Linked DNA regions of Caenorhabditis elegans. The protein of the gene in region 2 purifies or fractionates together with the protein of the main gene of each other region. This does not show direct contact. Each region holds a gene or a part of one and is shown on either strand. Other genes may lie near its edges. The genes, in order: epg-2 and sepa-1.

What was found.
Region 1: the proteins of sepa-1 (region 2) and epg-2 purify together in Caenorhabditis elegans (affinity purification with western blotting, with the first as the bait; one study listed by BioGRID). This does not show direct contact.

Annotation. Positions count from the first base shown.
Region 1 is NC_003279.8:2,288,359-2,303,825, reverse strand, and holds epg-2 (Ectopic P granules protein 2), read right to left. Parts: upstream 3,741-15,467; 5' UTR 3,714-3,740; coding exon 3,657-3,713; intron 3,362-3,656; coding exon 3,260-3,361; intron 3,107-3,259; coding exon 1,193-3,106; 3' UTR 1,029-1,192; downstream 1-1,028. Other genes in the region: tpxl-1 (TPX2 domain-containing protein), read left to right, coding at 1-666, 713-799, 852-1,000, 5,907-6,009; Y39G10AR.11 (TPR_MLP1_2 domain-containing protein), read right to left, coding at 7,225-7,596, 8,615-10,609; cdk-7 (Cyclin-dependent kinase 7), read left to right, coding at 14,079-14,183, 14,239-14,340. UniProt on the Caenorhabditis elegans protein: Involved in autophagy. Thought to act as an adapter protein that brings PGL granules to autophagic structures containing lgg-1.
Region 2 is NC_003279.8:13,291,058-13,306,482, forward strand, and holds sepa-1 (Protein sepa-1), read right to left. Parts: upstream 9,660-15,425; 5' UTR 9,645-9,659; coding exon 7,964-9,644; intron 7,837-7,963; coding exon 7,465-7,836; intron 7,300-7,464; coding exon 7,244-7,299; 3' UTR 7,147-7,243; downstream 1-7,146. Other genes in the region: top-1 (DNA topoisomerase 1), read left to right, coding at 1,569-1,967, 2,472-2,687, 3,178-4,659, 4,709-4,951, 5,730-5,810; T04D3.1 (NTF2 domain-containing protein), read right to left, coding at 11,811-11,914, 11,975-13,235. UniProt on the Caenorhabditis elegans protein: Adapter protein that connects P-granules in somatic cells with the autophagic machinery.

The DNA.
Region 1 (15,467 bases), about 11 Mb from region 2:
GGAACTCGTTCTCGCTCGATCAGCACGAAACGTTCAATGTCGCGTGAGCCAGCTGCAGCAGCTCCACGAGCACCATCTGTGCCACGTCCACCTCACAATTCTGTCACTCGCACCATCTCCGCGCCAATTGCAAATACCGGACCAGGTGTCATTACTCGTGCGATGGCTGCTCGTGTCGCTGAAAATGTCACCAAAACAAGTGTTCGTCGAAGTGTTATGCCTCTCAAAGTGGCTCAGAAAACGCCGGTTGCCGCAGTAAAATCGGATGCTGCTACTGCAGGAGGTGACAGATCCCGTGACCGTACACGCCGTACCAATACAACGGCTTCTCGTCGAAGTGTTTTCCCCAATAAGCCTGCTGCTGCTGCAGCAAACACCACTCCAATTGCTCCACCGCGGCGTTCGGCATCGGCGAACAAGGCAACAGCGCCGACGTCGGTGAGCAAATTGACGCCGAAGATTCGTCCGATTGCAACAGCCAATCGCTCATCGATTCTTCGAATGAATGTTGTGAAGCCAACTGTTCCGGCTCCGGCTCCTGCTGATGCTCAACAGAATAAAGCGGCTTCACGTCCTGCTGTTCCAGCTGGTGGAGCAGCTCGTAACCGGCAGCCGCTTCGAGTCAACCCGGGAACTCCGAGCACAACGATCAAGAAACCACCAGTGGTAATTTAAAAAATTTGCCTAATTGTTTAATAAATCGAATTTCCAGGCTTCATCCGTACAACGCCAGCCGCCGACTCGAGCTCGGTCAGTGGACCGTTCTGGCCAACCTCCAATTTCGGCTTCCACTCCAGGGGTACATTTGTGCAACGTTTTTTTTTCTATATATATATTTTTTGAATTTACAGAAAGCCTCCCGTGCTGACCTTTTCAACAGACTTGCCACACCAAAGGTTACTGCTACGCCAACGAGGACTTCACACGAGGGCCCAGCGTCGAGTATCCGAAAATCTGCTGTGCGCCCTGTGCCATCATATGTGTACAGCTCCTACAAAGGGTATGAGAAGAAACGATGGATTTATTGAACTCAAAATTCTTCAAAAAAGGAAAAATTGATTATTTAAACAGAAAAAATTGTAATAACAAATTGAGAACAATTTAGGCGGGCATGAAAGACAAAAACAATTTGCAATGTACAGTAAAGTGTGCAATTTAGAAACAAAAACGAACAAGAAATTAATCAAAATTGTTATTCTTCGTCGACCATCTCCCATTCAGCCTTCTCTTCCGATTCCGTTGATGCTTTCGGCTCCTCGTCGAGTTCTTCAACTCCCAAATTATCCACCAACTTCTTATGAGCATCATTCAACTGAACAATCTCTGCATCGTGAATTCTCTTCGTTTCGATTGCAAGTTCTGTGTGCTCGCGAATGGTTTCCTGGAGTTTGTCAATTGTGGTACGATCCGAGATTCCTTGAGATGTCAGAACGCGACAATGATTGCCAAGAACATTGTATTGCTGTTTCATTGATACCATTGCAGCTTGGAATTCGTTAATCTCGGCATTTTTCTCATCTGTTTCCTTCTTAAACTGGGCTTGAGTAACCTCATTGATCTTTTTTAGCTGCTCGATTTCAATAGTGGCGTAATGGAGACGTTGTTGGATTCCGGATTTCGCATCTTCCAAGAGTGCTACTTCAAGTTTGTGATGTTCAGTCAAATTTCCAATTTCTTTCTGAGCATTAGCTCGAGACACTCTGAGTGCAATACATTCTTCAGAAACGAGAGTCATTTTGCTTTCTAAAGCCAAATGTGCGGTTCTGAGATCATCTTCGGAGCTCAAAAGCAAACTGCACTGGTCTCTCAAGCTTTGATGAGCAGCATTGGATTGCTCTAGTTCGTTTCGTACCGTCAAAATCTCATTGGCGTGCTTCTTCTTCCCAGATTCCAGAGCCATTTGTCCTTTGATCAACTCCTGATTAATTGCCAACATATGATTGTACTTCATATTATCAATTTGCTTGGCGTACTGTTGATGCACAGCAACCATTTTTGCATCCATCTCACTCTGCATCTGGCCTTTTTCGATGTCCCGCTCCTGAATTGTTGTGCTCAATTGTTCGCGGAGACATTCACATGTGCGATTGACATCTTCTTTCTCCTCCTTCAAAATTTTGAAGTCCTCCTTCAGATCGTAATTCTCCATTCTGAGCTCCATCAGTTCGGTTTCAGACTCACGGAGCAACTCAATCGTGTCACTGTGCTCGCTGGAAAACGCAGCAGCTTTATCACTGCCAAGTTTGAGTTGTTCTTCAAGATGAGCAATGACTGCTTCATCCTGTTCGTGTTCGTCCTTTCTGAACTGTAAGCATTCACCGAGTCTTGCAATTTCATCTTCCAACTTATCGCGAAGATCTTTGTTGAAACTGGTCACCGCTTCTGTAACTTCAGCTTTTTCCTTCATTGCCAAACGAGTAGAGCCAAGTTCCAGGCGAACATCGGACAACTCGTTGAGCAAAGCTCTAATTCGGTCAGTCAATTGCAATCGTTCAGAGTCAAAGTAGTCATTTTGACTCTTCAACTTTGTAATTTCAACTTCAAATTCATTCTGCTTGACCTTCCAGTTTTCCTTCATTTGATGGATCTGCTTCAAGGTGTCTTCTCTTCCATACATCAGATCATTCAATGCAGATGTGAACTCCTTTGTCTGCAATTCCAGTTGAAGCGAAATCTCGTCTTTCCGCTCAACAATATCTTTCATGGCAATATCTTTTTCACAAACTTCACGTTCCAGCGTCTCAATGCGGCTCTCGTGCTCTTCGTTTTCCGTTTGGGTTTTCTCGAGCTCCTCGTTACAGTTATCCAATGCAAACTGGGCACATTGCCGAATCGATTCCAACTCGTGACAATCTTTTTGAAGTTTTGTATTCTCATCTGAGATCCGCGTAAGAGCTTCTTGAAATTTTTTCGAGTCGCTCAACCAGATCTTTCTGAGCTCCTCTTTCATCTCTTTCAATTCCAAGTTTTCGGCCACAAGATCTCGGTTCAAAATTTTGAGATTGTTTTCTTCGGAGGTCGTTTCTTGAGCGGACGATGCTTTTTCTTCGGCTTCGTCAAGCATGATCTCCAATAATGTGGAGTAGGTCTTGGCTTCCACGTTTTCCTGAAAAATAATAGGTTTATAGCTTGAAAAATTGCAATTTACTAATTAATTAAGTTCCATTAATTCTATTATTAGTTATATTAAGTTAATTAATTTCATTAATTGAATTGATTTTCTCAATTCTCTAAATAGTGAATTGAATAAGTTGCTCACCTTTCTGAGAAGCACAACTTCGTCCTTCAACAACTGGTGTTCTTCTTTTTCCTCAGCCAGCATTTTGTCCAAGTTTTGAAGTGAGTCTTCAGCCAATTCGATCTAAAATATAAACACTTGTTCATGGCACATTCAACTATTTTCAAAACTCCAGAATTCATTGAAAACACGTGGTGTCAGAGTGTCTCATTTCGGCTTGATCTACATAAATCTACAAAAAAATGCGGGAGAAGAGACACAGAGTTCTCAACTGATTTCGCATGGTTAAGAACATATTTTTGTGCAAAAAATTCCCGCGTTTTTTGTAGATCAAACCGTGATGAGACAGACTCTGGCACCACGTGTGAAAATGGATTTTTTGTGTCTCAACAGAATCTAGAACAGCTCAAATACTTACCGGCTCTTGATCCTCTGCTGACGATGAAAAAACTGTGACAGTTCTGTTGGCACTCATTCTTTTGAAAGCTGTTGAAATTGAGATCTGCAAAAAATATCGATTATTGAGAGATGTGTTACACACACAAAAATTAATAGTGAGACGAATGACAAGGTCACCATAAAAAATATTCGAAGAAGGAGAAAGAAAGCTTGCGAGGCTGTGAGAGGAAAACGGCGATCAGGTAGAATATATAATTCAGTTGTTAGGCATTGTGTGGTAGTAGCTAATGACTGAGAATTGAATGAAGAACCCGAGAAGAGAGGAATGAATAATATGAAAGAGAGTGAAAAAGAGAGAGAGAGAGAGAGACGAGAGATATGGGTGGTCTCGGGGAGTGAAAGAGGGAGAAATGGCAACGGTTTGGATAGCTCGACGAGAGCAAAAGAGACAGCCTCTGCATAATGCTCTGCGCTCTCTTGCTCTCTGCATATTGGCAGCGTCTAGCCACCGAGAGATGGGCCACGGTAAAAAGCGAGAGAGAGAGAATGGTCCGACTGATGTAATGTACAGGCCAAGGTTACAATGTGGATAGTTGTGGAGGACTGCGCGTTTGGTTAGATGCGCCACTAGGGCGGGGCTGCTCTGTGTTTGCTCTCTGGAAATAGCGTTGTGTGAGCAGAAGAGGGAGATTTGGGAAAGTCGGGGTCACGTTAAGGGTCAGAAGATGATGTTAAGATTGGGGAAGGGGTGAACAGGTGAAGTGGAAATAGTATTGAATGACTTTTTGGTGGTCTTTGATGTCGAGAAAACAATGGATATATATGACAATCTGGAAGATTTAGAGCATTACATTACAGAAATTCAAATTTTAAAGGTGGTGTAGTCGAATTTTTTTATTGTCTTATTAGACTCGATATTCTCTCAAAACACCGAGTTTCACAATGAAACTTCTTGAAAACTTTTCAGAAAAAAGTTATGACGGCTCTAAAAATGGCCTAAAATTAGTTAAAATCGGAAATTTGACCGACTTGTCAATGTCGCAGTGGCTGGAAATAATTTTTTTTGATATTACCGCCAAATTTTGAGTATACAAGTCGATTACCTCGCGTTTTAAACGAGTATTTAAAAATCGATGGACGGCGAGTTTTGGTTAAAAAAATTAAAAATCAAAGATTTTTTAATACCTTAATCAAGTTTAAAACGTAAGATAATTAACTTGTATACTCAAAATTTGGCGGTGATTTCAAAAAAAAATTGTTTCCAGCTGCTGCGACATTGATAAGTTGGTCAAATTTCCGATTTTAACTAATTTTAGGCCATTTTTTGAGCCGTCATAACTTTTTTCTGAAAAGTTTTCAAGAAGTTTCATTATGAAATTCGGTGTTTTCAGACAATTATGAGCCTGATAAAGCAATAAAAAAAATTCGACTACACCACCCTTAAAAGTGGGAAGTTAGGAAAAGTTATAGGATTTCGAGCTAATAAGGAATGTAATCAGTAGTTTTGTAGGGCAAAATTAGGTGCCTACAAGGCAGGCATAATATGCCTCGAAGATGCCTATCGATAGGCGATGAAACATTTATCTGACTACATGAAAACCTAGAATTGTAAAATTATTTTTGTTGTCTTAAAATGATAAAAATATAGTCTAAAATGACTGGCTGGAGTAGATAAGATTCTTCGATTTTTTTCATAGAAAGTTTTTTAAAAATCTATAGAGATGTAATGATAAAATTCAATTTTTCATCAAGTTTTGTTACTAATGACGGAAGAAAAATATCAGAAAACAACATCTTTTCTAAAAAAAAATGGCTAAAACTTGAGCCATTTTTGCAAAAAATGCTATTTTTCTGAAAATCGAAAACGAAAACACAATTCCGACAAATTTCCGGTTCGCCGATTTCCCGAAAATTTTCGTTTTCGGCAAGTTGTCGATATGACGGCAATGTGCCGATTTTCCAGAAATTTTCATTCCGGCAATTTTTCGATTGGCATTCGATTGGCACCTAGTAGGCATTTTGTGCCTACATGAAAACCTAGAGTTGTGAAAAGATTTTTTCGACAAACCGGCAAATTGCCTAATTTGACGACAAACCAATTGCCACCCACCCCTGATCTGGTACAAAAAATAATTTCGAATAAAAAGCATACATTTTTGAACTTTTAAGATTGGCAATGCTAATTGTAAAAAATTTGGAAAAAAAATACCAAAATATTCTAAACAATTCTTTTTTCAAATTTACTAATTACTAATTAAAAATTTTCCAGAATGCCATCTGCCGGAGGTCTTCACGGAATTCGTGCTCCATCAAAGGATCGTTCGACTCAGAAGCCACCAGCAGCAGCTTCTACTCCACAATCGAAGCAGTAAACGAATGTACATATGATCGTTGTCGTATTCCAATGGGACCAGCTTCATCTTCACCGCGAAAATTAATTTTAAAAAAAATATTTATGATGATTCTCATTGATTTTTTTGTCTCATCCCACCCCCTTATACCGTATTTTTTCTCTTCTTCATATCCATAGTTTTTGTTGAGCTATCTTTTCCCGTTCACCTTTTCGCGCGCGCGCACTGATCTACTAGTGTTCATTATTTCTGACTAATTCTGTATAATAGACCGGCCCCCACACACACATGTTTACAAAAAAAACCGGAAGCCCACACACACACACACAGATTTATTCTTATTATTATTATACCTTTTCTTTATCATTCAATCCAGTGAAATTCACATCCTTATTGTTGTGTCTCCTCCACCCGCCCGCCCGCCCGCCCGCCCGCAATGAACATTTCTTGTAGATTTCCCTCTTTTTGTCTGAATTTTGCGAAAGGTTTCTTCTGAGCCAAGTTTGTTATTTGAATTGAAATCATCGTTTATCTTGAAATTTTAGGGAAAAAAGAGAAAAAAAAAGCGAAAAGAAATTAGGAAAAATATTCGGCGGTGAGAATCAGAGGGGTTTTTGGAGGGGGACTACAAATTTTTGAATTTTTTAAAATTCACAAAACAAAAAAATAAGAAGGAAATGAAATTTTTTGATTGGGGGGGGGAATAAAAGGGGGAAATTGTACAATTGTACATGTTTTTGAAACAATAAAAAACTAATTTGCGATCAGTACGACTATAGAAGTTGGTACACACCAGAGGTGGGCGGATATTTTTTTCGGATATTTTCTAATAATGAATTTATCAATAAGTATTGATGTAGTTATTGTGGAAGAAATGTATCCGAACAAAAGAGTAACTATTAAGCAACATTTTAATATGATAAAACCTAGAAAAATTCTACAAATTTTCTGTATAAACGATATGCAAGTCCATTATCCGATATCCGTAAAATCCGATGTTGCTCGGCTAATAAGTTTTAAGGTCTCGGTAAGGAAAACTTGTTGAATTTTTCTAGGTTTTATCATATTAAAATGTTGCTTAATAGTTACTCTTTGGTTTGGATACATTTCTTCCAGAATAACTACATCAATACTTATTGATAAATTCATTATTAGAAAATATCCGAAAAAATATCCGCCCACCTCTGGTACACACATTTGTAATTACATTCAATTTGTGCATTTATTTACATTTTATCAGTTATTCTGCTGCTGCTCTGCTTCTTCCTCCTCCTCTCCAACCAGCTCCCACGAGTTCTCGGCGGTTGTCTCGTCTTTCAGTTTTGGCATATCACGGTACTCTTCATCTTCTTCAGAATCAGAAGAATCCGATGAGCAGTCCGAATCACTCGAGGAGTCACTGGAACAATCCGAATCATCGGATGATTCCAACACCTCGACGCCCAGATTCTTCTTGAGCTCCTCGTTGACTTCCTTCAGTTGATCTACCTGATCGTTCCAGCGTAGACGATCGAACTCTTGAGCCTCGGATTGTTCTTTGGCATCTTCGGTGAGCCGGGCGATCGAACGACGTGCCTCGGCGAGAAGATTTTTGTTGATAGATGAGGTCTGGAAGAGAGAAGAAAATTAGAGATTTTGAAGCAATCGTTGCGGTTTGATCTACAAAAAATGCGGGAATTTTTCTCCCAGTAAAATGTGACGTCATCAAACACTTAGCCACACGCTCTCCTCAAGGCCGAATAATTATTAGAGCGCGCTTGCTGCGCTTGGCGTTTCTGCATCCGTGGCATTTTGACTTTCCACTGAAAAAAGCAGATATTTCAGATTTATCGAATTTTTAGCTTTTAAAATTTTTTTTTCTGCATTTTACGAACAAACCTTTTGTTAAACAGTGAAAATCGAATTTAAAATGATACTTTTGAACTTTTTTCGTCCACTGGTTGTGAAATGGTTTGAATTTGAAGAAATCAACGGGATTTTTCTTATTTTCTAAATATATTTCTATTAAAAATCGGTTTTAAACCATTTTTTGACCCTAATGTTAAGTCACAAATGTATTAAAACCGATTTTTAATAGAAAAATATTTAGAAAATAAGAAAAATCCCGTTGATTTCTTCAAATTCAAACCATTTCACAACCAGTGGACGAAAAAAGTTCATTTTAGTCATTTTAAATTCGATTTTAACTGTTTAACAAAAGGTTTGTTCGAAAAATGCAGAAAAAAATTTTTAAAGATAAAAATTCGATAAATCTGAAATATCTGCTTTTTTCAGTGGAAAGTCAAAATACCGCGGATGCAGAAATGCGAAGCGCGCTCTAATAATTATTCGGCTTTAACGAGAGCGTGAGCCATGCGAAATCAGTTGAAAAGTCTGCGTCTCTTCTCCCGCATTTCTCGAAGATCAAACCACGCTGTCAGAGTGTCCCATTTCGGTTTGATCTACGTAGATCTACAAAAAATGCGGGAGTTGAGACGCAGACTTCTCAACTGACACATGGTTAAGAACGTGCTGACGTCACTTTTTTTTGGGAAACAATTCCCACATTTTTTGTAGATCAATCCGTAATGGGACAGCTTGGCACCACGTGTGTGTGTGTTCAAAAAGCAAAAAAAAAAGCACTTACCATTGTCAAATTTTTGAGCTTCTCCTCAAGATCTCTAACCGTTGAGTGTCGTTCTTCGAGGATTTGCTCCCGCTCCATCGCCATGAGCGCTTTCACATTTGTCATTTCCATGTTCGAGAACTCGACTGTCTTCCGCAAGTTGTCTGCCTCCAGCATCTTCTGATGCGCCTTCTTCTCCAATTCGTCGTTGGTTTTGACGAGATCTCCGAACTTTGTGAACAGTATCTCGGCCTTTCCTTTGTACAAATCAACATCTTTTCTGAGCCTGTCACGATCCATTTGAAGGCTTGATACACTGTTCTGGTACAGTTCGCACTCGCTTCTGTACTGGGCAAGCACGTTCTCGACCTTCTCCTCGAGACCTTCGTTTTGCTCCTCAAGATCTGTGATCTTCTGTTTCAATTCGATTCGGACGGAAGTTTCATTCTTCCATGCATTCACATCCTTCTTCAAGTCACTGAGCCACTCGACTTTTTCCATACGTTGAAGCTCACAGAGACTATTAAGCTTTAAAATCTCATCTTTCTTGGCAGCAAGCTCTTCACGGCGTTGCTCGGAGAGCCGTCTAATCGACGCGGTAAGCCAGGTATTCTTTCTCTGCATGGTTCTCAACTTTTTTCCTTCAGTCTTCCGTTTGCCGATCAACTCGTAGATCTCCTCTTCCAGCTCAGCACACTCGACATCCCACTCCTTCACTGCGTTCGCCTGGACTGATTTGGTATCACTCAATTGGACATTGAGATCATCAATCTCGGCCAGGAGTCGAGTAATCTGTCGTTGCGCCGCTGCTTGTTGCGTTGCCAACAGGCCCTCGAGCTCGTCGATTTTGCGGCGACATTCACGAGATTCCTCGTCGAAAATCTCCCGCTTGTCCATCGTTTCCTTGGTTGATTGGAACAACATTTTCTGCAATCCACCAATTTCATCACGAAGTTTGACACATTCAGCATTCCATTTCTCCTCGACGCGCTCCATGGCATGACAGAACTTGGCCTTCTCATTCGAGAATGTCATCGTTTGCTGGGCGTGTTTCTCGGTGATTTCGCCGATCTGTTGCTTGTAGGCGTCACGGAGCTCCTCCAGCTCTGTCATCTCCTTATTGAGGTTGGCAATTTGGTTCTCGAAGTTGGCACAGTCTAAGAGAAAGCTCTGTTGCTCGGCGATCAAGAAGCCCTTGTGGAAGTTGAGCTCTTCTTCCATCTTGCACTTCTCGACTCCTCTTCTTTCGAGATCAACGCGGAGAGCCGAATTGGCGTCTTCAATTTCCTCAATAGCTTCAAGAGCATCTTTGAGTTTTCTGTTCAATTCCTGAATCTTCATCTCATTCTCCTGGAACATTTTCTGGTCGGCACGAATTCCACTTGGTTTCGATGAAGATTTGAGTCGTTCAAAGTCGGCGGTGATGTTCTCAAGACGTTCGTTCCACATCTTCTCAGAGTTCTTCGTATGGTTCAAGATATCCTCCTTCTGAGCCTCTAGCTTAACATTCTCTCTTCTGAGCTGAGTTTCAGCCTCTTTGAAGTGCTCGGTCAACTTGGCCTTCTCAGTTTCCCACTTACGACACTGATCGTTCAGCTCGTCAAGCATCAACTTCATGTTGTCGGTATAACTGTTTGAGGCGTAGTCGGCCGGCTTATTGTAGAGGCTCTCCATTTTCTCAATTTCCTCGTGCAACTCATCGACGTCCTTCACCAACTGATTCCGTTCGCGAAGCATCTTCCCGAGCTGATCACGAGTTGTAGCCAACGTCGCCATCAATTCCTTATTCGTAGATTCCATGACTCGAATCTCGTTCTCAGCACTGGCGAGCTTCTTCTCGAGCTCCTCAACTCCCGGATGCGTCTCATTGCGAACTCGTTCTAGCTCGTGCTCACAGTCAGTGCGAAGAGCCAACGTCAGTCGAAGACTCTTATTCTCATCCTGAAGCTCGGTCACTCGACGCTCAAGTGAGCTGCTAGTCTGCTGATAGGTGGGAAGTTCCTGCTGCTGAGACATTTTGGAGATCTGCGGATAGGATGATGCTCTTCAACTGCCAAGGAGACGGGGCAGTGTAAAGAGTGTGAAGCGTTGAGTTTTCTACCTGAAATAGGGGAAGTTCGTAAATGATGGAAGCTTGGGAAAAAGGAAAAAAGGAAAAAAGAAAAAAAAAGTTGAGAAGAAAAGAGAAATAGGCAAGTAAGGGGCAAGAAGAAGCATAAGAGTCACGTGCGTACGCACACGAATACGCAGACACCCAAATAGAAATCGATAGAGAAGTGTGGCGGGGGTCCACGGAAGGTGTCCTGGTCTCTTTCCGTCTCTTTATTCTCTCTATTCTCTCGCTACACCCTTCGAACGTTCTCTGCTGTGCACACTATAGATTGGAGAACACTCGTCGGAAAATACTATAGATTTCTATCGTCCGGGGGACCGAGATGGAATCTGTAGAATTGTTGGAAAAGTGAGCAGGAAACCGGGAAGAGATAACAATTGAACGGGAAATTGGAAATTGGAAAACTGTAATAGTTTGGGAAACAACTACAGTTTGGCCGAAGTCTGAGGGCTTTTGAAGTACGATTATTCAACTTTTTGATAATCCAACTACTTCAATGAATAGTTTTTTTTTCCAACGTTTGCCGAAAGGTTTTCCTGTTGTGGAGCTGTCTGGGTGGAATCCAATTGCCGGAATTGAAAATTTCCGGTAAATAGGCAAAATGCCGGAGCCCCCATAGAGTTTTCGTTACTCGAAAAATCGGCAAAAATTGCTGAAGAATGGCCAAGATTTTCTCAGGGGTAAGCGGCAAATCGCCGGAATTGAAAAGTTCCGGCAAATTGGCAAAATGCCAGAATTGAAAAATTCCGACAAATCGACAAACCGGCAAAATGCCGGAATTACAATTTCTGGCAAATCGGCACATTGCCGGAATTGAAAAATTCCGACAAATCGGCAAACCGGCAAATTGCCGGAATTGAAATTTCTGGCAAAAAATCGGCAGATTGGAGGAATTGAAATTTCCGGCAAATTGTCGGAATAGAAATTTCTGTCAAATCGGCAATTTGCCAAAAATGACAAATTCCGGCAAATTGGCAAATTGCCGGAATAGAAATTTCTGGCAAATCGGCAGTTTGCCGAAAATGACAAATTCCGGCAAATCGGCAAATTGCCGGAATAGAAATTTCTGGCAAATCGGCAATTTGCCAAAAATGACAAATTCCGGCAAATTGGCAAGCTTCCAGAATTGACAAATTGAAAATTTCAGACAAAAATCGGCAAATTGACGGAATTGAAAAATTCCGACAATGATTTGTCGGAATCGGAGCAAACCGACAAATTGCCGGAATCGGAATTTCTGGCAAAAAATCGGCAATTTACCGAAAATGAAAAATTCCGAATCAGCTAACCGACAATTTGCCGGAATTGAAATTTCTGGCAAATCGACAATTTGCCGAAAATGACAAATTCCGGCAAATCGGAAAATTGCCGGAATTGAAATTTCCGGCAAAATATCGGCAAATTGTCAGAACTGAAAAATTCCGGCAAACCGGCAAATTGCCAAATTTGCCGGAAAATATCCTTGCCAAGCGGCAATCTCTATTGGCTGATGTAATCAAATTCCATAGGCGTTGCATCTCATCTTTTCACGTGAACAGCACATGTCAAATGTGAAAAACCGGCAAAAATTGAACTGATAAACGAAGACAATGAATGGAAAATTATACATACGATATGTTATAATGTGCATTTAATCTTATCTATCAAAAAGTTCAAGTACTCTTTTTGTTGGAATAAATTGGAAAATTCAAATTTTTCTAATTTCAATTTCATTTTGAAATGAAAGAAAAAAACTTGGTTTCTTATGTGACGAGAGATCACACTGAACAAAAAAACCAGCTTCCAAAACAACATCATCACGAGAAAACAGAGAAAAATGCGAAACAACAAGCAAAAGCTTGGGTGCCGCGTCTGCGTCTCTTTTGTATTTTTGTCGTGTTGTGTGCTTGGGGGGTCTGCTGACTTGTCTCGTCTCTCCATGAACGTCCAATGGAGCGCGGTTGCTAAGGGGTGGTAGACGCATTTTTTCGAAAGTGTGTACTTTGAACCCATTCTTTGCAAGTAGTCGTTCCTATTCATTGCACAGTGAAAGTTGGCTCATAACGCTCAGAATCGCGAAGTTTTCGATTATTTGAAGTATGTTTGCTGTAGATTCAACAAATTTTGGACCTTTGGCAGGTTTTTGAGCAAAAATCGGCAATTCTGGGAAAGAGGCAAACGTTTTTCCGGCAAGTCGGCAAATTTCCGTAATTGAAAATTTCCGGCAAACCGGCAAACTGCCGAATTTGAAATTTCCGGCACGTCGGCAAATTGCCGGATTTGAAATTTCAGGAAAGTCGGCATTTTGCTGGAATTGAATATTTCCGGCAAATTGTCGAATTTGAAATTTCCGGCAAGCCGGCAATTTGCCGAAAATTAAAATTTCTGCCAAATCGGCAAATTGCCGGAATGGAAAATTTCCGGCAAACCGGTAAACGGCAATTGCCAAAAATTTTCGGCAAAGTGTGGTTTTGCACATTCCCTTCTAGAAATTTCAATTTTGATCGGCAAATTTCCGGCAATTTCCCAAATTGCCGGAATGAAAAATTTCCGGCAATTGCAAAACTTGCCGAAAAGACGGCAATTACCAAAAATCAACGGCAAATTGTGTTTCCGTCTTATGAAAAAATCCCACTAAAATGTTCCGGAAAATCGGCAATTTGCCGAAACAGAAAATTTCCGGCAAACCGGCAATTGGACGAATTTTGCCGAGAATGAAAAGTGAAAATTTCCGGCACATGCAGAATTTGCCGGAAAAAACGGTGGTTGCCAAAAATTTTCAGCAAATGGTGTTTCCGTCTTATAAAAAAATCCCTCTAAAAGTTTCCGGCAAATCGGCAAATTGCCAGAATAGAAAATTTCCGGCAAGTTACCGAATTTGCCGAAAAAAACTTGTCAAAAATGGGCCGTTTCTGAGGAGTTTTCCCAAAAAAAAAACTGTAAAATTTCGGTTTTTAATCGAATTTTCACCTTTTTCTACTGAAAATTACACTGAATCTTGATAAAACTGCATGGCAAAAATTCCACAGAGTTTTATTAAATTTCAGTGTAATTTTTAGTCAAAAAAGGTGAAAATCCGATTAAAAACCGATTGTTTTAGAGGATAATTTTTAGTCAGGTGAAAAAAGAATTTTTAGTCAGGTGAAAAAAAGAATTTTTAGTCAGGTTTTAAAAGGTGAAAATTCGATTAAAAACTGATTTTTCTAGGAAATTTCCTAAAAAATAGGCTAGAAGCTGCACATTTTTGCCGTAACTTGACATTTTTTCAGTTATTTCCTAAAAAAAAGTCGAAAATTGACGGAAAACTTGAATTTTTATGTTTTTTCGCTATTTTTGTTCAAAAATCTCCAAAAACATGTGATTTTTTTCCAATTTTTCAAATTTCAGCCCAAAATGAGTAGACGTTACGATACAATAAAGCATCTTGGAGAAGGACAATTCGCCAACGTTTATCTCGCACAAGACCTCGAATCGGGCGAATGTGTGGCTATTAAAAAAGTATTTATACATTTTTCCGCTGAAAAAATGAAAAAAAAACCGCGTAAATTTGTAGATCAAACTAGGATCGAGAGAAGAAGCAAAAGATGGAATCAATCGAACGGCGATTCGAGAGATTAAACTTTTGAAGGAAATTCATCATGACAATATTATCGGGGTTTGGAAATTTTTGGATTCAAATTTGAAATTTTCAGGCCTAGAAGCCCAAATTAAAAAAAAAATCTGTGAAAATTAACTGAGAAAACCGATTTTTTGGCAAATTTTCCAACAAAAGTGAAAATTTAGTGAAGAATATTACACATACGCGAAACATTGTGATTTTTACTCTAAAAATACGTGTTTTTACTGGAAATTGGGAAATTTTGAATTTAAATTTGAAAATTTCAGAAAAAGATGGCCAAAAGATGGCGAAATCTTAAAATTCCTTAAAAATCTGTAAAAAAATAACTGAGAAAACCGATTTTTTGGCAAATTTTCCATGCACTTTTATTGTTAATTGCAAAAATATTACACATACCCGAAAAATTGTGATTTTTGCTCCAAAATTACGGTACCAGGTCTCGACACGACAATTTTTTTGTTAAATGCGAAAAGGTGTGTGCCTTTAAAGTTAGAGTACTGTATCTTCAAACTTTTGTGGAAATTTTCACTGAAAACAGGAAAATTTTGAGTTAAAATTTGAAATTTTCAGACCAAATTTTTTAAAAATCTGTAAAAATTAGCCGAGAAAAAACGGATTTTTTTTTGTCAAATTTTCCATCAATTGTTAGCTGTAAAATATCATTACACATACGCGAAATTTTGTGATTTTTGTTCCAACCTGGTCTCGACACGACAATTTTTTGTTAAATTCGAAAATTCGTGCGCCTTTAAAGAGTACTGTAGCTTCAAACTTTCGTTTCTGCTGGATTTTCATCGGATTTTTACATAGTTTTTTCGATAAAAATTGTATTTATTTATTTAGAAGAAAAATAATTTTTTTAAAAATAAATAAATATATTTTTATCGAAAAAACTATGTAAAAATCCGATAAAAATCCAGCAGAAACGAAAGTTTGAAGCTACAGTACTCTTTAAAGGCGCACACCTTTTTCAATTTGGGTAACAAACAGTTGTTGTGTCGAGACCAGGTACCGTAATTTTGGAGCAAAAATCACAAATTTTCGCTTATGTGTAAAAGCGGATTTAATATTTGAAGTTTTTGAAGAAATTTTTTTTTGAAACAAAAATTCGATTTTTGGTATTAAAAATCCCAAATTTTGCGATTTTTGTTCAAAAATTACGG
Region 2 (15,425 bases):
TGATGCCGCCCGTGAGAGAGAAGGGAGCAGGCGACGGAAAGTGCACACCGGGTGTAAATAGTGCAGATGACCTTCGTGCTAGGAGGATGGATTCAGTAGATGGAAGAAAGTTGGATGAGTATTTTTTGAGGGACTTTGAGAATTATTGATTTGAAAAATGATGATTTAGTTGGTGTCAAAAGTCAATTTTTAATATTAGGAGATGTTATTTTCTGGCCTCGGTTTTCGTAGATTTGACGAATCTGAAATGTTCCGAGTTTTACGAATATAACCCTTCAGTTTGCTGGAATTTCTGTCTCAAAATGCCCCCAAAGTATCAAATTTAAATGAATATTTGAGAAAAAAGGCTATGTGTAGTTGAAATTTTCAAAATTTATCAATTTGCCCGTGTCGGAGCGACTTAATTCGTATGTATTTTTTGAGATTTCTAGAACTTTTTGGATTTTTTCGATAGTTTTTTTGCTGATGTAGGTATATTTTCTGTTTATAAGCTCCAAGTTTCTACAGATTTTGCTGCTGAAATAGGACCAAAATTAAAAAGAACCGATATTCATAAACATTATGTTGGTGTTTTGACTCTAAATCGAGAAAAAAAACTATTTTACCTTTTTTTTCCCTCGAAATCCTGCAATTTCTGCGTATTTTCTCCAATTCTTCAATCATGTTCATTTGTTTTCCACTATTACTTTACAATCCTTCGCCTCTCTTATTATATCGCATCCACTACTTTAACCATACAACAACTAGTTTTACACACTCTTATTCATAATGTCCTCCATCATCGTTCTCACTGGCGGGTCCTACCACGAAAGTTTCACCACACAAAAGTCGATTCTAAAAGACTTGGTGAAATTTCGTGGTGGGACCCGCCGCGGCGTGCGTAAGGTCGTCGTTCCGTTGGCCATTAATATAGCAACTGTGAGCGATAAAAATCTAAAGTTTTATTTATTTTGCTAATTTGTCAAGATTAGAATCTTGAGCTAAGTGAATCAATTTTCTCGGCGAAGTCGATTTTTGAAAAATATATCCGAAAAGGTTCAAATTAAGCCTGAAAAAGTAGATTTTATTACGAGGCAGCTTGAAAATTTCTGAAAATATATATTAAGATCTGAAAAATCGCAAAATTTACGAAAAAAATTAGCAAAAAAATCATGAATTTTAACAAATCGTGAAAAACTTTAACAAAATCGATGAAAATTCCACAATCAACGAGAGTTTTAAATTACAGTACTCTTTAAATGCGCAATTTGTCGGATCCGGGCGCCGTATTTTTTGGCGCAAAATTTAACTTCTATGTAGTAATAAAATTAAAATAATTTTCCAATCGTAACAAGCTCAAGTTTAAGCTAAATTGAATCAATTTTTGAGATATTTTCTTACTATATGTCTCTCTTACCTCTAAATACTCTTTCCTTTTCACAATTTCTTTCAAAATTCCTCATTTAAATGTTTGCAGAGTATCATCTCTCCGACACTCACACACTCCATCTATTTGATTCGACAGCTTCTACGAAGATATCTTATCAATCAAAAGAGCTCTCGTGGATCATCAGAAACTTGCTCAAACGATGAGTGTAGTGTCGAATCATCACTCGAACGGAAACGGCAACTCAACAGTCTACGATACGAACGGAAACGATGAAATCAAAAAAGAGGTGAAAGATGAGCCAATGGCATCAGACAGTGAAGTTCCATTCGGTGAACTGATGAAAAGAGATAAAAAAGAAAAGAAACAAAAGAAGAGGAAAGCTGAAAGTGGATCAGATGAGGATGATTATAAGCCCGAGAAGAGAAAGTCTTCGGCGAAAAATGGGAAAAAGAAGGATGTTGGAAGTGATTCTGAGGATGATTATAAGCCTGAAAAGAAGAAAAGCAAGAAAAATAATAAGAAAAAAGCTCAGGAGAGTAGTGAGGATGATGATGAAGAATCAGAAGGAGATGTTAGTGAAGAGGATGTTAAGCCACAGGTTTGTAGCAATTAATAACATTTTTTCCTCCAAAATAACCTATTTGCACGGGTTTTTGGCGATGAAAATTCACTTTTTTTTTGCTAAATTTCATCCAAATTATGTTTTTCAACACAAAATTTGGTTTTAAAGTTGCTCCACGAAAAAAAATTAGCTAGTTCCCATTTTCTTTGTTGCAGAGAGAATTATTCGCTTTATAAGATTATGTGAACTCAAAACAGTTGAAAAATGCAAGAAATACGTAAAATTCTGCTATTTTTACATTAAAATTGCTGAAATTTAGGTATTTTCTCGCAATTTTGAATTGTTTGGATGTACATATTCCTTGTGAAACCGATGTGAGCAAGAACCAGCATTTCTACAAGATTTTCAATTAGATAGTAATAATATGTGTTAATAAGCATATTTTAGATGGAATTTAGCGAAAAATAACCCTTCTAACCCTACTTTTCTGCACGTCCTTAACATTTCCTTTGTTTCGTTAGTTTTTTTCTGCTTTTTTAGATCCATTCCGACGATGAACTAGAAGAAGAAGACGAAGCTCCGACGACAGATGATGAAGAGGAACAGAAGAGAAAGGAGAAAGAGCGTAGAAAAAAGGAAAAAAGGGAGAAAAAAGAGCGAAAAGAGAAGAAACGACTGGAGAAGGAGAATCGGAAGATTAAGGAAGAGGACGACGAGGATTCGGATGATGAAGATGATGAAAAGGCGAAGAAAAAGGTGTTGTTGATGTGGATTTTCCTGATTTTGCATGCTTTTTCCCGCTTTTTTTTGCACAAAAAACTAATTTGCAAGCTAAAAATGGTGTCGGTTTACGCAGAAATTGTGTACTACACGAGGAAAAGTGTGAATTTAAATTTATTTAGTTTTTTAGCTGAAGTTCTCGGATATTTAGACTTTATGCCAAATTCTTCTGAAAAATTGGGTGTTTAATCATTTTTAGGCTAAAAATCGGAAATTTTACGATTTTTTGCTCAAAAAATTGAACACGATGCCTGCGTAAATCGACATTACATGCTGCTCCGGAAATTTTAATGTAATCGAAAAAATTAAAAGTTAATCCAAAAAAAACCACTTCCGTCTAACCTGAATTACCCACCAGTAATATATTTTCTCAAAAAAAAAATCAAAAACTGTTTTCTAACCTTCTACGAGATACTTTAAATAATTAAATTTGCACGAATCATAATTTTATCATTTATTTTTGCAGAAACGAAAGTCAAAAGGAGCTGAAAAGAGCAAGCCAAGTACATCAAAGAAAGACGCCGGCGGCAAAAAAGAGCCACCAAAGAAGAAAGTGAAGAAAGAGGAGGATATAGAAGATATATGGGAATGGTGGAAAGAGGAAAAGAAGCCTGCAGGTGTTAAATGGAATTCCCTTCAACACTGTGGACCACTATTCGCTCCACCATACATTCCACTTCCATCTCATGTTCATTTCAAATATGGTGGAGAGAAGATGAAGCTGACTCTTGAAACGGAAGAAATTGCTCAATTTTATGCTGGTGTACTGGATCACGAGTATTCGACAAAAGAGGCTTTCAACAAGAATTTTATGAAAGATTGGAGAAAAGTGATGACTGTCGAGGAACGTGAACGTATACATGATCTGAAAAAGTGCGATTTTCGAGCTATCGATGCTTATCAAAAAGAGCAACGGGAAATTCGCAAAGCGATGACTAAAGAGGAAAAGTTGAAGATTAAAGAGGAGAAGGAAGCGGAAGTGAAGATTTATGGAATTGCAATAATTGATGGTCATCGGCAAAAGGTTGCAAATTTCCGAATTGAACCTCCAGGAGTGTTCCGTGGAAGAGGTGGACATCCGAAGATGGGTCTTATCAAGAAGCGTATCATGCCAGAGGATGTCATCATAAATTGCGGAAAAGACACTGAAATTCCAAAACCACCACCTGGGCACAAATGGAAAGAAGTGAGACATGACAATACTGTTACGTGGCTGTGCTCTTGGACTGAAAGTGTGCTCGGACAGAATAAGTACATTATGCTTAATCCATCTTCAAAGATTAAAGGAGAAAAGGACTTTGAAAAGTACGAAACAGCGCGGCGACTTAAAAAGAAGATTGGTGGAATTCGTGAGCGGTATACTGACGATTTTAAGTCGAAGGAGATGAGAGTTCGACAACGTGCTACGGCTTTGTATTTTATTGATAAGTTGGCTCTTCGTGCTGGAAATGAGAAGGATGTAGATGAAGCTGCTGATACTGTTGGTTGTTGCTCACTTCGTGTTGAGCACATTAAGCTCTTCGATTCGGCGAAACTGAATGAAGATGATAAGAAGGAAAAGGAGTTTGTTGTGGAATTCGATTTTCTTGGAAAGGATTCGATTCGTTATTTCAATCGAGTTTCTGTTGAGAAGCGAGTCTACAAGAATTTGAAGATATTCATGGAGGGAAAAGCTCCGAGTGATGATCTTTTCGATCGTCTCGACACTGCAACACTCAATGATCATTTGAGAAGTTTGATGGATGGTTTGACGGTAAAAGTGTTCCGTACCTATAATGCTTCGATCACACTTCAAGAGCAACTGATAAAGCTGACGAATCCCAAGGACAATGTGGCGGCAAAAATTCTGTCATACAATCGTGCTAATCGGCAGGTTGCGATCCTTTGTAACCATCAACGTGCCGTTTCGAAGGGATTCGATGAGTCGATGCAAAAGTTGGAGCAAAAGGTTGCGAAAAAAATATGAAATTTATTCACTAATCTCGTTTTTTTTCCAGATCAAGGACAAAAAGAAGGAGGTGAAGGAAGCCGAAGCCGCGCTGAAGTCTGCTCGCGGAGCAGAAAAGGAGAAGGCCCAGAAGAAGTACGACAGACTGAAGGAGCAGTTGAAAAAGTTGAAAATCTCAAGAACTGATAAGGATGAGAACAAACAGATCGCGTTGGGTACTTCGAAACTCAATTATATTGATCCTCGGATCACTGTCGCCTGGTGCAAGAAGTTTGAGGTTCCGTTGGAGAAGGTGAGAGATAGTTTCGGAGAAATGAATTCACGGGGGAAAATGGACAAACTGTGTCGATTTACGCAGCTCGTGTACTCCACGAGGAAGAGTGTGGCTACACAGTTTTTGTCGAAAATACTTCGTTTTGGAACATAAATTAGGCATTGAAAACTGCAAAATTTATCCAAAAACTGAATGCACACTCTCCTCGTAGAGTATATGACCTCCGTAAATCGACACAATGTCGTGTTTTTGAAGAGATGCGGTATTTTGTGATTTTTTCGTCAAAAATACTGTCCAAACAGTACCATTTGTCGATTTACGCTGCTCGTGTACTCCTCGAGGAAAACCAATGATTTTTGGTGGATCAACATTCAAATCATCAGTTTATCAATTTTTATGACGTTTCTCTGAGAAAATCAATCATAAAAACGCCAAATTCCACCTGAAATTGAATAAATTCGATAAAAATGGAGATTTGAATGTGGAATGCAGAAATAATTGGCGAAAATTGTCTAAAATGAAGCATTGTTTTCCTCTAGGAGTACACGAGATTAATGAGGAGAAGCGCTCCTTAAAATATGCACAATTCCCTGTAGTACACAGTACTAAAACACTTTTTTCCGAAATTTTTTATCAAAAAACAGAAAAATGTTAAATTTTTCGGGAAAAAAAACCCGAAAGATCATATAAATGAGGAAAAATAAGAAGACAAATGGTCAAAATTCAAATTTTATTTTTCGATAAATTCAGAAAAACCGACACTCTAGATCCCCATTAAAATCGATTTTATTTCCAGGTCTTCACCAAAACTCACCGTGAGAAATTCCGTTGGGCCATCGACATGACAAACTCGTCGGATGAGGAATACGTCTTCTAGAAGTCAATTTAGTCGTTTTTTTTCTTTTTTCTGCACTTTTTTCCTTAATTTCTGATCCATTTTCTCTTTCTTTTTTTGTTTTTTCTCGGACTCTCGACTGTGATTGTTACACACACCTTTGTTAATCATTTCGTTTATTTTTTTTTTTTCTTTTTTTTTCTGAAAAATCTTTAACCTTCACCAACAAACCCAACAAAAAAAATCAAATTTTCTATTCCAATTATTCATCACTAATAATTTATTATTCCTCTTATTTCTCCATTTCAATCAAATATCTCTAAATATCTTGAAATTTCCAAGTTTCTATAGTTATTTGCTCTTCATGTCTAACGTTTTCTTTCTCCCCACTCTTCTAGTACATGTAATCCATTCTATCATCTCAAAAAAAAAGAATCCTAAGATTTTTTTAGAATTACCTTCTTATTTTGCTCCAATTGCTCTAAAATATCGTGTGTAGCCTCCTTTTGGGTATGTTCAGACTGGAAATTAGCTATTTTCAGCCTTAAAATGCCCCAATTTCGTCTTTTTTTCTTCATTACCCACATGATTAGTCCCAAGAATTCTCGTCCCTCTTTCTCTCGCTTTCTTGTTTTTTTCTGTTTTATTTAAAAATCGCATACACATCGACTGATTCAAGAATTTAATTTTGATTTCATGAAAATTATGATAATAAACGTTGCATTTTCAGAAATTGTTTTTTTTTTGGTTGCAGTTTTTGATTTCATAAGTGTGAGAGGGCGAAATGCTGACTTAAAATGCTGACATGACATAAATAAAAAAGTCTGAAATAAAAAACAAAAACGTAAGCCCAATGCGGGGCTCGAACCCGCGACAACCAGATTAAGAGTCTGGTGCTCTACCGACTGAGCTAACCGGGCGCCAATCTCACCCGCTGCAAAGGTTGTATAGAAGCAGACGCACGCAGTGTCAGTTTTATAGTCCCGTACGCGCGCCCACATTTTGTCGGTACACGCGTTAAGTGGCCTTCTCGTCATTTTCTATCAAATTTGGTTTTAACCCAGTTACCAAGGTAATTCGGAGTTTCGATCTTTCGAAAGAGAGTGTCGATTGTGAACAATTTTTGGAATAGCTCTTCCGGGGAATCCGGTCGGGCAATATTTTAAAAGGATTATTATTGTGAAGGTGATTCCGATCAGGGCTGGGATTATTTAAAAAACGAACATGAAAGTTTTTTTTTAAAAGATGAAAAACGAAAAAGTTAGTTTTGCAAATTTACAACTGGAATTACGATTTTTTAGTTACATGTTTCTTCAAGGTTTCATTGTTCCGAAAATGATTCGCCCAACGCCAAATTCGGGTGCAATTAAAAGAAAAATACTTATCAATTTAATATTTATTTGGGATAAAGCACGCATTCATTACAGGATATAAGCAAAAGCAAGAGATATAAAAGAAAATGAATGTGAACTGATTTAGTTTTTCTCGTGATTTTTGGCAAGTTCATCGGAGCTTTGTGTTGGTTGTTGGTCTGAAAATAAATATCGATATTTGAAGCATTAATCTTAAAATTCTTAAAATGGGAATAACAGGAGTTGAGACATTTTTGTCAGTTTAGGCTAGCCTTCAATTATTTCAAATTTTTTTAAAATTATTAAAAGCAAATTATCATATTAAAAAATTAATAGCAACTTACGGTTATGTTCAGTGGCTCGTTGGTCTTTTTTTAAAGTTTTCTTGAGAATCTGGTCAACTGTTAATTGCATCAAACGATAGTATTCATCTCGGTCATTCGATGCTTCCAAAATCTCCGTTTCACATTTTCTGGCATTGGCGATCAACTTTTTAAACAGTTCACCATTCATCTCTTCTACATTCTGGATTCTTGGCCAGAACGCTTTCAACAATTTTCCAACCATGTGATTTCGGATGTCTTCAACGATCCATTCCTTTGATGTGTTTGTCCCGAACAAGAAAGAACCATTGTACCCTTCAAATATATCAATTTTAGGTGTTTCTTCGTTTGAGATTTGATTAGTGTTCTCGGCCAGAGCAGGTGAAGCAGGTGCTGAAAATTTTCAAAGGTTTAGGTGATTTTTGTACTTTCACAGTAAGCCTACAGTACCCCTTAACCTATTTCCAAAAGAAATACGGGTAATAGCTACAGAAATAAAGTTTTTGAAAAGCATACATACCTTCAACTTGAGCAGCTTCTTCCGAAGGCACTGAGCTTGAGACGACTTGTTTCTTTCCGGCTCTTTCCATTCTTCGTTTCTCCAACTCGTCAATTTGAGCATTAATTTTGTTCAGCCGACTCTTGAGCTCTCTCCGCTTTTTCTTCTTGTCCATTGCTGCAACATCCGGCTCATAGGTGACATTCTTCACAGGCTCTGGTTCGTTGGCGTCCTGATGCTTCGATTCTGCTTCTTTTTCCAATAAGCCCTCAGACATCGTATCGTCCAATTCCTGATACCCATATGTATTTCCACCTTCAGAAGCAGCTGTAGTCGGCTCTTCGGGATCCTTCGCAATTTGGAGCTTCTCGAGATTCTTCACTATATTCTCTTCCGTCTCAGCTGATTCCACTCTAGGCGCCTTTCTGGGAATCTCTTGATCCTGTGTCAATCCAAGTTCCTTTCTCAAGTCACAATTAAAAGATTCAACCATCGCTAACACGGTTTCCATTATATCTTCGCCCTCCGTCTGAACTGGATGTTGTGGCTCGACTCGCTCCGTGCTAGCCTTCTTCTTTTCGAATTCAGTTTTCATCTCAACCCATTGAACTTGGAATGTTTTCACCGCAACTGGCTGCATCTTCTCGAAGCCTCCACTTCCAGATGTTTCTTTCTGAAGTCTTCCATCACGACCTCTCATGATCATATACACCTTGCGATTGTCTATATTTTCCGCCATAAACAAGTTCAGCCCACTGGTGATCTTTTTCGGATCATAAACTAGATTGCGTTTAACTTGAACGAATCCAAATGTACGGACATCATAGATGTACTGCTCGATTTGATTATTCTCGGTGTTATGAACATGAATCACCAATTCGGATGCATTACGCTCCACATACAATGGAATAAGGTTCGATTCGGTGACTTCACATGTGCAAAGAGTGCAGGAAATCTTCTGGAAGTCGCCTGTTTCGTCAATGTACTCGAGTCTTGTGTAATCCCCGCTAGTCTTTGAATAGACGCATAGAAATTCTTTGTTCAAATGCAGACATTGACGAACTTGGAATCGTGGGAGATTCTTCTGATACTCTGCGTAGAGTCTATCAAAGCTCTCATTACCTGATGAAATCTTGACTTCATCAGAATTCGCGGCTCTATCCCACCTATCACGTTCCAGATCTTGAAGCGTCAGAGTCCTTAAAGCAGCTGTTGGAAGAGTTCGGAACTGTCCATAACTTGTAGATTCCTTACTGAGAAGACCACGGCAATCTCTTTCAATCACGACCAGCTCGCCTTCAGGACCATTTAGAGCAACCACAACGTTTCCTTTAACAAGAAACGCCGGATTGTACTTAATCTCGGGACGATTCACTTCAACAAAGCAATCCGTCTTGAAAGCGTAGATAAACTGCTCCATCTTCCCGGTCATTGTATTATACCCGAAGAGCACGAAATCTTCGAGTAGGTCACTGTAGACAGCGTAGTACGGAGAAATGTGCTTCTCGGTGAGAATTGGTTGGCATATGAGGCATTTGTGAGGGATCAAATCACCAGCATCCGTTTTCTCATAGCAAAAGCGTTGTCTGTTTGGGCGAAGAACACTGACCACGTGGATAGCAGTGGCAGGGCACTTTCCGAGTGCAAACTTCGGTGGAGGTGAAGGCGCTGGATTGGAGGTAAGAGCAGAAAGAGGTGTCATCTTGGAGATTTTTCTGGAATTAAGGTGTAGTTAGATTAAGAATAATTGAAAACGTATACAAATGCAATAAAAAAGTGATAAGTGAAATTACCAGGCGCGATTAAAAATAGGAGTTTAAAGGAAATTTAGAAGTATAAGAACCACTGCAAAAAATCAAAAATGAAAAAGTAGTGAGCAAAAAGTGTTGTAGGAGTTAATACAAAACGACGAGTGCAACAGGACATATAAACGTATCAAGTAAAGTTTATCGATTGGTAAATGCTCCCGCCAACTCCGCGTACAGAACACCTGGGAATAAGCAATCAATACAGATTGTTGTATAATACTAGGCGGGAAGATGCACAAATTTTGTGGGCTAGAATTTAGGTAAGGCTACTGCTAGGGCTGAAAATTAAATAAAATGAATCGAAAATATGAATCTCGTAAATCCACAAGTGCGGTACGGTTTTTATGGGCGATGCCTTTTCTGACGAAAATTTCGGCGTTAAATAGGATTTTGGGATTTTAATAAATTAATATAAAATCACGGAAATTTTTTATATTTTTTTCACATCGATATTTGGTATCAGGGGCATAAATAGCGTCTTTAGTCCTCCTTTGTGTTAAAATCAAGTTTTGAATAAAACCATCAAAGTACAACTGATATTTTTTGTCCAATTTTTGGTAAAACCACAAGTAACTACAAGATACACTTTTAGAAAAGGGAACTACGGACATATCAATTTCAAGAATACATCATATTTGAAAAAGGCAAAAAGGAAACAAATACTGTAGTTCATAGCCGAGAACAAAAAAATGGAAACAGGAGCTCTAGAGACTGACTAGAGAAAAGAAAAACGACCTACTAGAGGCGATGCAGGCAGACTGAATGATGTCTTCTGCTCTTCAAGACAACTCAGAGCATCTGGAGCAAACGCTGCAACCAATTTAAATCGATACTCAGCTCTTGGGATACCAGATTCGGGAAAGAGGTGGGAATTGGCAGATGTTTTTATCGACTGATGTAAGATTGAGACGACTACCAGGAGAAGATCTACAAACGAATGTAGTATATTGATGGTTTTTAACAAAATTTCTGGGAACTGATTTTACAGATATGGTAAATCTCAACATGTTACGGCTGCTGATCTAATAGAAAGAATTATCGGCAATCTGAACAGAAAAGTATCCAAGATATGGGCGGAGCATGAACTGAATATGGCACCGCCCATATCTTGGCTACATGTACTTCTCACATTTCTTCATAAATTTCTCCTATACTCCCATTATTAAGACAAAGCAAGGTCAGCTTAAATTCCCAGACACTGAGCAAGGACGCGATCCACCTGAGAGTAATTCGACCAGGGGTGGACGGCAAATGATTTTTTGCCGGAATTTGCAAATTGGCGGAAATGAAAATTTCCGGCAAATCGGCAAATTGCCGGAATTGAAAAGTTCCGGCAAATCAGCAAACCGGCAAATTGACGCTTTGCCAAATTTGCCAGAAAAACGGGCAAATTGTGGTTTTGCACATTTTTTTTGGAAATTTCAGAATTTCGATTTCACTCAGCAGACTTTTACGCATCCTATGAATGTTCCTACATCTATTTTTAAAAATAAGCAAACTCTATGAATATATCTAAAGAAAACGGAATAAAATTTCAAAAAGGCACAGTTTTAAGTGCTTCTGTCATATAAAAAGCCCCTCTAAACACTTCCGGCAATTGGCAAACCGGCAAACCTCCGGAATTGAAAACTTCCGGCAAATCGGTAAACCGGCAAATTGCCGGAATTCAAAACTTCCGGCAAATCGGCATCTTGCCGCTTTGCCGAGTTTGTCGACAAAAAAATTTGCCGAACGGCAATTGCCGCCCACCCTTGAATTGGACTACAAATGTGGACAGAAGATTCATAGAATCAGAGAAAATTACATCCATTTGCCGGATTTCTTTTGGAAACGTGCCCCATTTTAATTTGCCTCAAAGAGAACCTGGCAATCCCATTCTAAAAGACTATGACGTCAAGCAAGATTTTCAGCAATGATTTTTTTCCCGCCGTTTCTAAAGGCACACAAATTTACAGTTGTCTTTTATTTATGGAACATCGGGAAGAAAAATGAGACCGCAAGACAAAATAAAATAAAAAAATATGCAATTTAACAAAAAAAACTAATTTTAATCCAAATCCTCAAATCTGTTCCAATTCCTTCTGAACATATGGTGGCAACGATCCGCCGTAGAGAGTTGTCAGGCTTTCCACGAATTTTTGTTTGAGAATTGACATGCCATCGTCTGAAATGAGTATATTTTTAGAAAAATGAATAATAGTATGGATTAAGTGTTAAGGGTTACCTGGGGCATCCTCCGGAATATCTGGAGAAGTTGAGCAAGATGGGCCATCAGAAAACGGATCATCACAAAGACGGATCTTCTCGACCAAGACATCCAACTCTTGAGATTCTTTGGATGCCTTCTTCTTGGACTTCTTGATCTTTTTGGCCTTCTTCTTCTTGTCCATCTTCTGCTTCTTCTCCATAAACTGAGTATCAAAACTCTTGATCACCGAATTGGGAACCTCCACGAAATGTTTTTTGATCGAGCAATATACCTCCTTCTTCAGTCTTCCTTGTGCACCCCTCATGATCACTGTTGTCCCTTTGAGAACGAAGAAGATGCTCGAAGTCGGATCCTGATCCTTCGATGAGTCATACTTCAGCTCTGGCTGATTCACTTCAACAAATCCCTGAATCTTCGAGTCGAAGACATATTGCTCCATGCGATCTGTGAAGGAGTTGAAGACGTGAATCACATAAGCCTGAATCTCTTCGCAAAACTCTGCATACTTGGGGAGAAGATCCACTTCTCTGGTTGTATCCGGACACTTCTCACAGTCGAGGATCTCGAATTGACTGGTGCTCTGATTGTATATGTACTTTTCATAATGACCACGGCTGGTGATAATGTAGAGAACGTACATCTGAAAGTCTTGGCAGAATGTGGTTTTAAATGCTGGAAGTGTTTCATTGTAGTCAAGATGTTCAGAACTGAGGGAGTCGTTGTCAGACCATGGATCCGCGTCATCAAATTCTTCGGCGGCCAAGAGTTGAACCTCAACTTTTGGCATTTCCACGCACTTCCCAAGTCTGTACTCCAACTTCCGAACTGCTTCGTTTCCTCCACGCTCGATCAGAACTTTCTTTCCATCAGAGTTCTCAATCATCACAATAAAACTTGATTCCGTGAATTTTTCAGCCGAGTAAACCAACTCCGGATAGTCGACCTGCTGGAAGCCACCAGTCTCGAACGAGTAGACATACTGCTCCACCTCTTGCGTAACCTCATTTCTCATAAAAATCACACTTCCCGAGGCATACATCGGTGACAGGTGATCTTCGAGGATCTTCACTGCACAACTGGAGCATCTGTGTGGAATGAACTTCCTGATTTTTAGGTCGAAGATGAACACATTGTAGGTTCCATTTTGACGGGGTCCACCAATGATGGGAATCTCCATGATCGGGCAGAGTTTCATGAGGATCCGTGGAGTTGTTGGAGGAGACATTGGAACTTGGCGCTGAGTTGGAACAGCACATGGATATGCAATGAATGACATGACAAGTAGAGATGATGATCTGGAATTTTGGAATTATAAGGATTTCAAAAAAAAAAGAAAAAGAACGTCAGAACTGGCAATGAAAAGAAAAATTTATATATTATTTCAAAGTAAAGTTTGTTGGGTGCACTAGAGGACAGTAAGTAAGTGAAAACCCAGCTCAAGATTAGCAGAATTTCAGATTCCCAGGCGACAATTGTTTTAGTTTTGAACAGTTTTTTATATATTTCTCGTCCAGAAAATTAAGAACTTGCGCAGGAATTCCAATTTCAACCGACTTTAAAGATCCGTTCTCTAACAGTTTAAAACGAAACTTTCAAGTATTTTTTCTTGAAACAGTAAGTTCTTAAAAAAGTGAAAAAAATTAAACTTAAATATTCTAGAAAAACGCTTTCGAGGAACTTCTAGAACTAGCATAATTTTCAGAATGATAAGTTGCGCGCGCAAGGTCACATAGATTTGACTACCCCGTTCCCACATCAGCCAACGGATTAAAAATCAGTAGATCAAAGTTTTACGAGTGTTCTTTTGACATTTTTTGGCACCTAAAAATTAGGTCAATTTATTAGCCTAGCGGAATGGAGTACCGAAACAGTCTAAAGGCGCAGGATTACTTTTGAAAAAAAAAAGATTAATTGCAGAACCATTTTTGAAGTGAAAACTACAAATTGGAATAATTTAATAAAAATGGCTCTTATAGAGGAGAAAAGGGAAAATTCATAAACTTACAATTCGAAAAAAAAGAATTGGATAAAATAAAGAAAATGAAAATGAGAGAACAGGAAGAAGAGACCGACAGTCTACTGCATAATGACCTTTTGAGCAAGGCCCGCGAACATTTACGACCACCGTCTGCCCGTCTGCGTCGTGCATCTCTCGTACAGGCTATCCGTGTTTTGTTGTAGATCGACTGGGAGAGACAGTGTTTGTGTATGCTATAAATCTGTAAAGAAACATCTCTGACCAAACGAAGGATTATAGAAAAAAACAAACCTAGAAAAAAACAAACCTAGAAACCTTCTCAGGACAGTCCTTGTGTAGGAGGACTGCCTCTTATGGGGACTTTGATGTGATGTGCTCCAAGTGATAACATTATTAAATTAAACCTGTGAGAATTCGATGAAAAATTTTCTTCTATGTTTGATATTTCATTTGCTTTGTTCAAAAAATTGAGATGAGACAAGTTTTATGCGTATTGTTTTAGTGCAGAAACAACATAACTTTTTAGCGTCTTGTTCTTGAGTTTCAGAAAAAAACCGGCAGAAGCAACTTCTACTCGACTTCAGCTACACAAAAGACGATTCAAGGAGGGTCAAAATGTTTGTTAATCATAGAACCTTCCAGGAGTCGACAGAAAAAACACGGGGAATGGTAACTAGCAACTGAATGAGCACGGAAAAATTATTATGTTATACCTACAATGCCTATAGTTAATTGGAAGTTTGAGCACAAATACTGCATTTTAAAATAGTTTTTCCCTTCTTTATTACGGAAATTTGTAAGACCATTATTTTATATGCAAATCCGTTAATATTTTCAAGCCTATGAAGCAGTCTTTAAGGTTTCAAATACCGTATTTCCTCTATTAGTATTGCACCCGACTACTTAACTTTGAAACGTTATATCTCGGTTCATTTTAAAGATATCAATATATTATTAGTTACAAAATTATAGAAAAAGAGCTAATAAATATTTTGTTAGTTGACAATTTTTGAATAAGGCAAACGATAACTGAGATATAAGCTTTCAAAGTTGATGTGAAATTTAACATTTTCTATTCCATTCTTTCCTTGTCAATAAATCCAAAATAATTGGAAAAAAACCTCATGAAACAGCAGCAAGATCCATTTTTTGACCAAAGTACCCTAGTTTCAGATCGATATACCACTGTAATGGTCAACAATCGATCGGAATGTCAATTGACAAACAGATGCGTACACCTAAACTCCGCCCAATTGTCGTAGTTGCTCTGTCAGATCGACAGTACACATTTCTTATTCATTCATTCATTCATTCATTGTACCAGCACACGAAGAGGTTGCTCTTTTCTGATTTTGTTTCATGTTTGTTGCCAGTTACCGTCTTGGTAATTTATGATTTTTTTTGTGATTTTTCAAAAAAGAAGTCGTTTTTAATTGTCTATCAAACCTTTTTGAACTCAAAACTCCTATCAAAATGCAAAGAAAATAA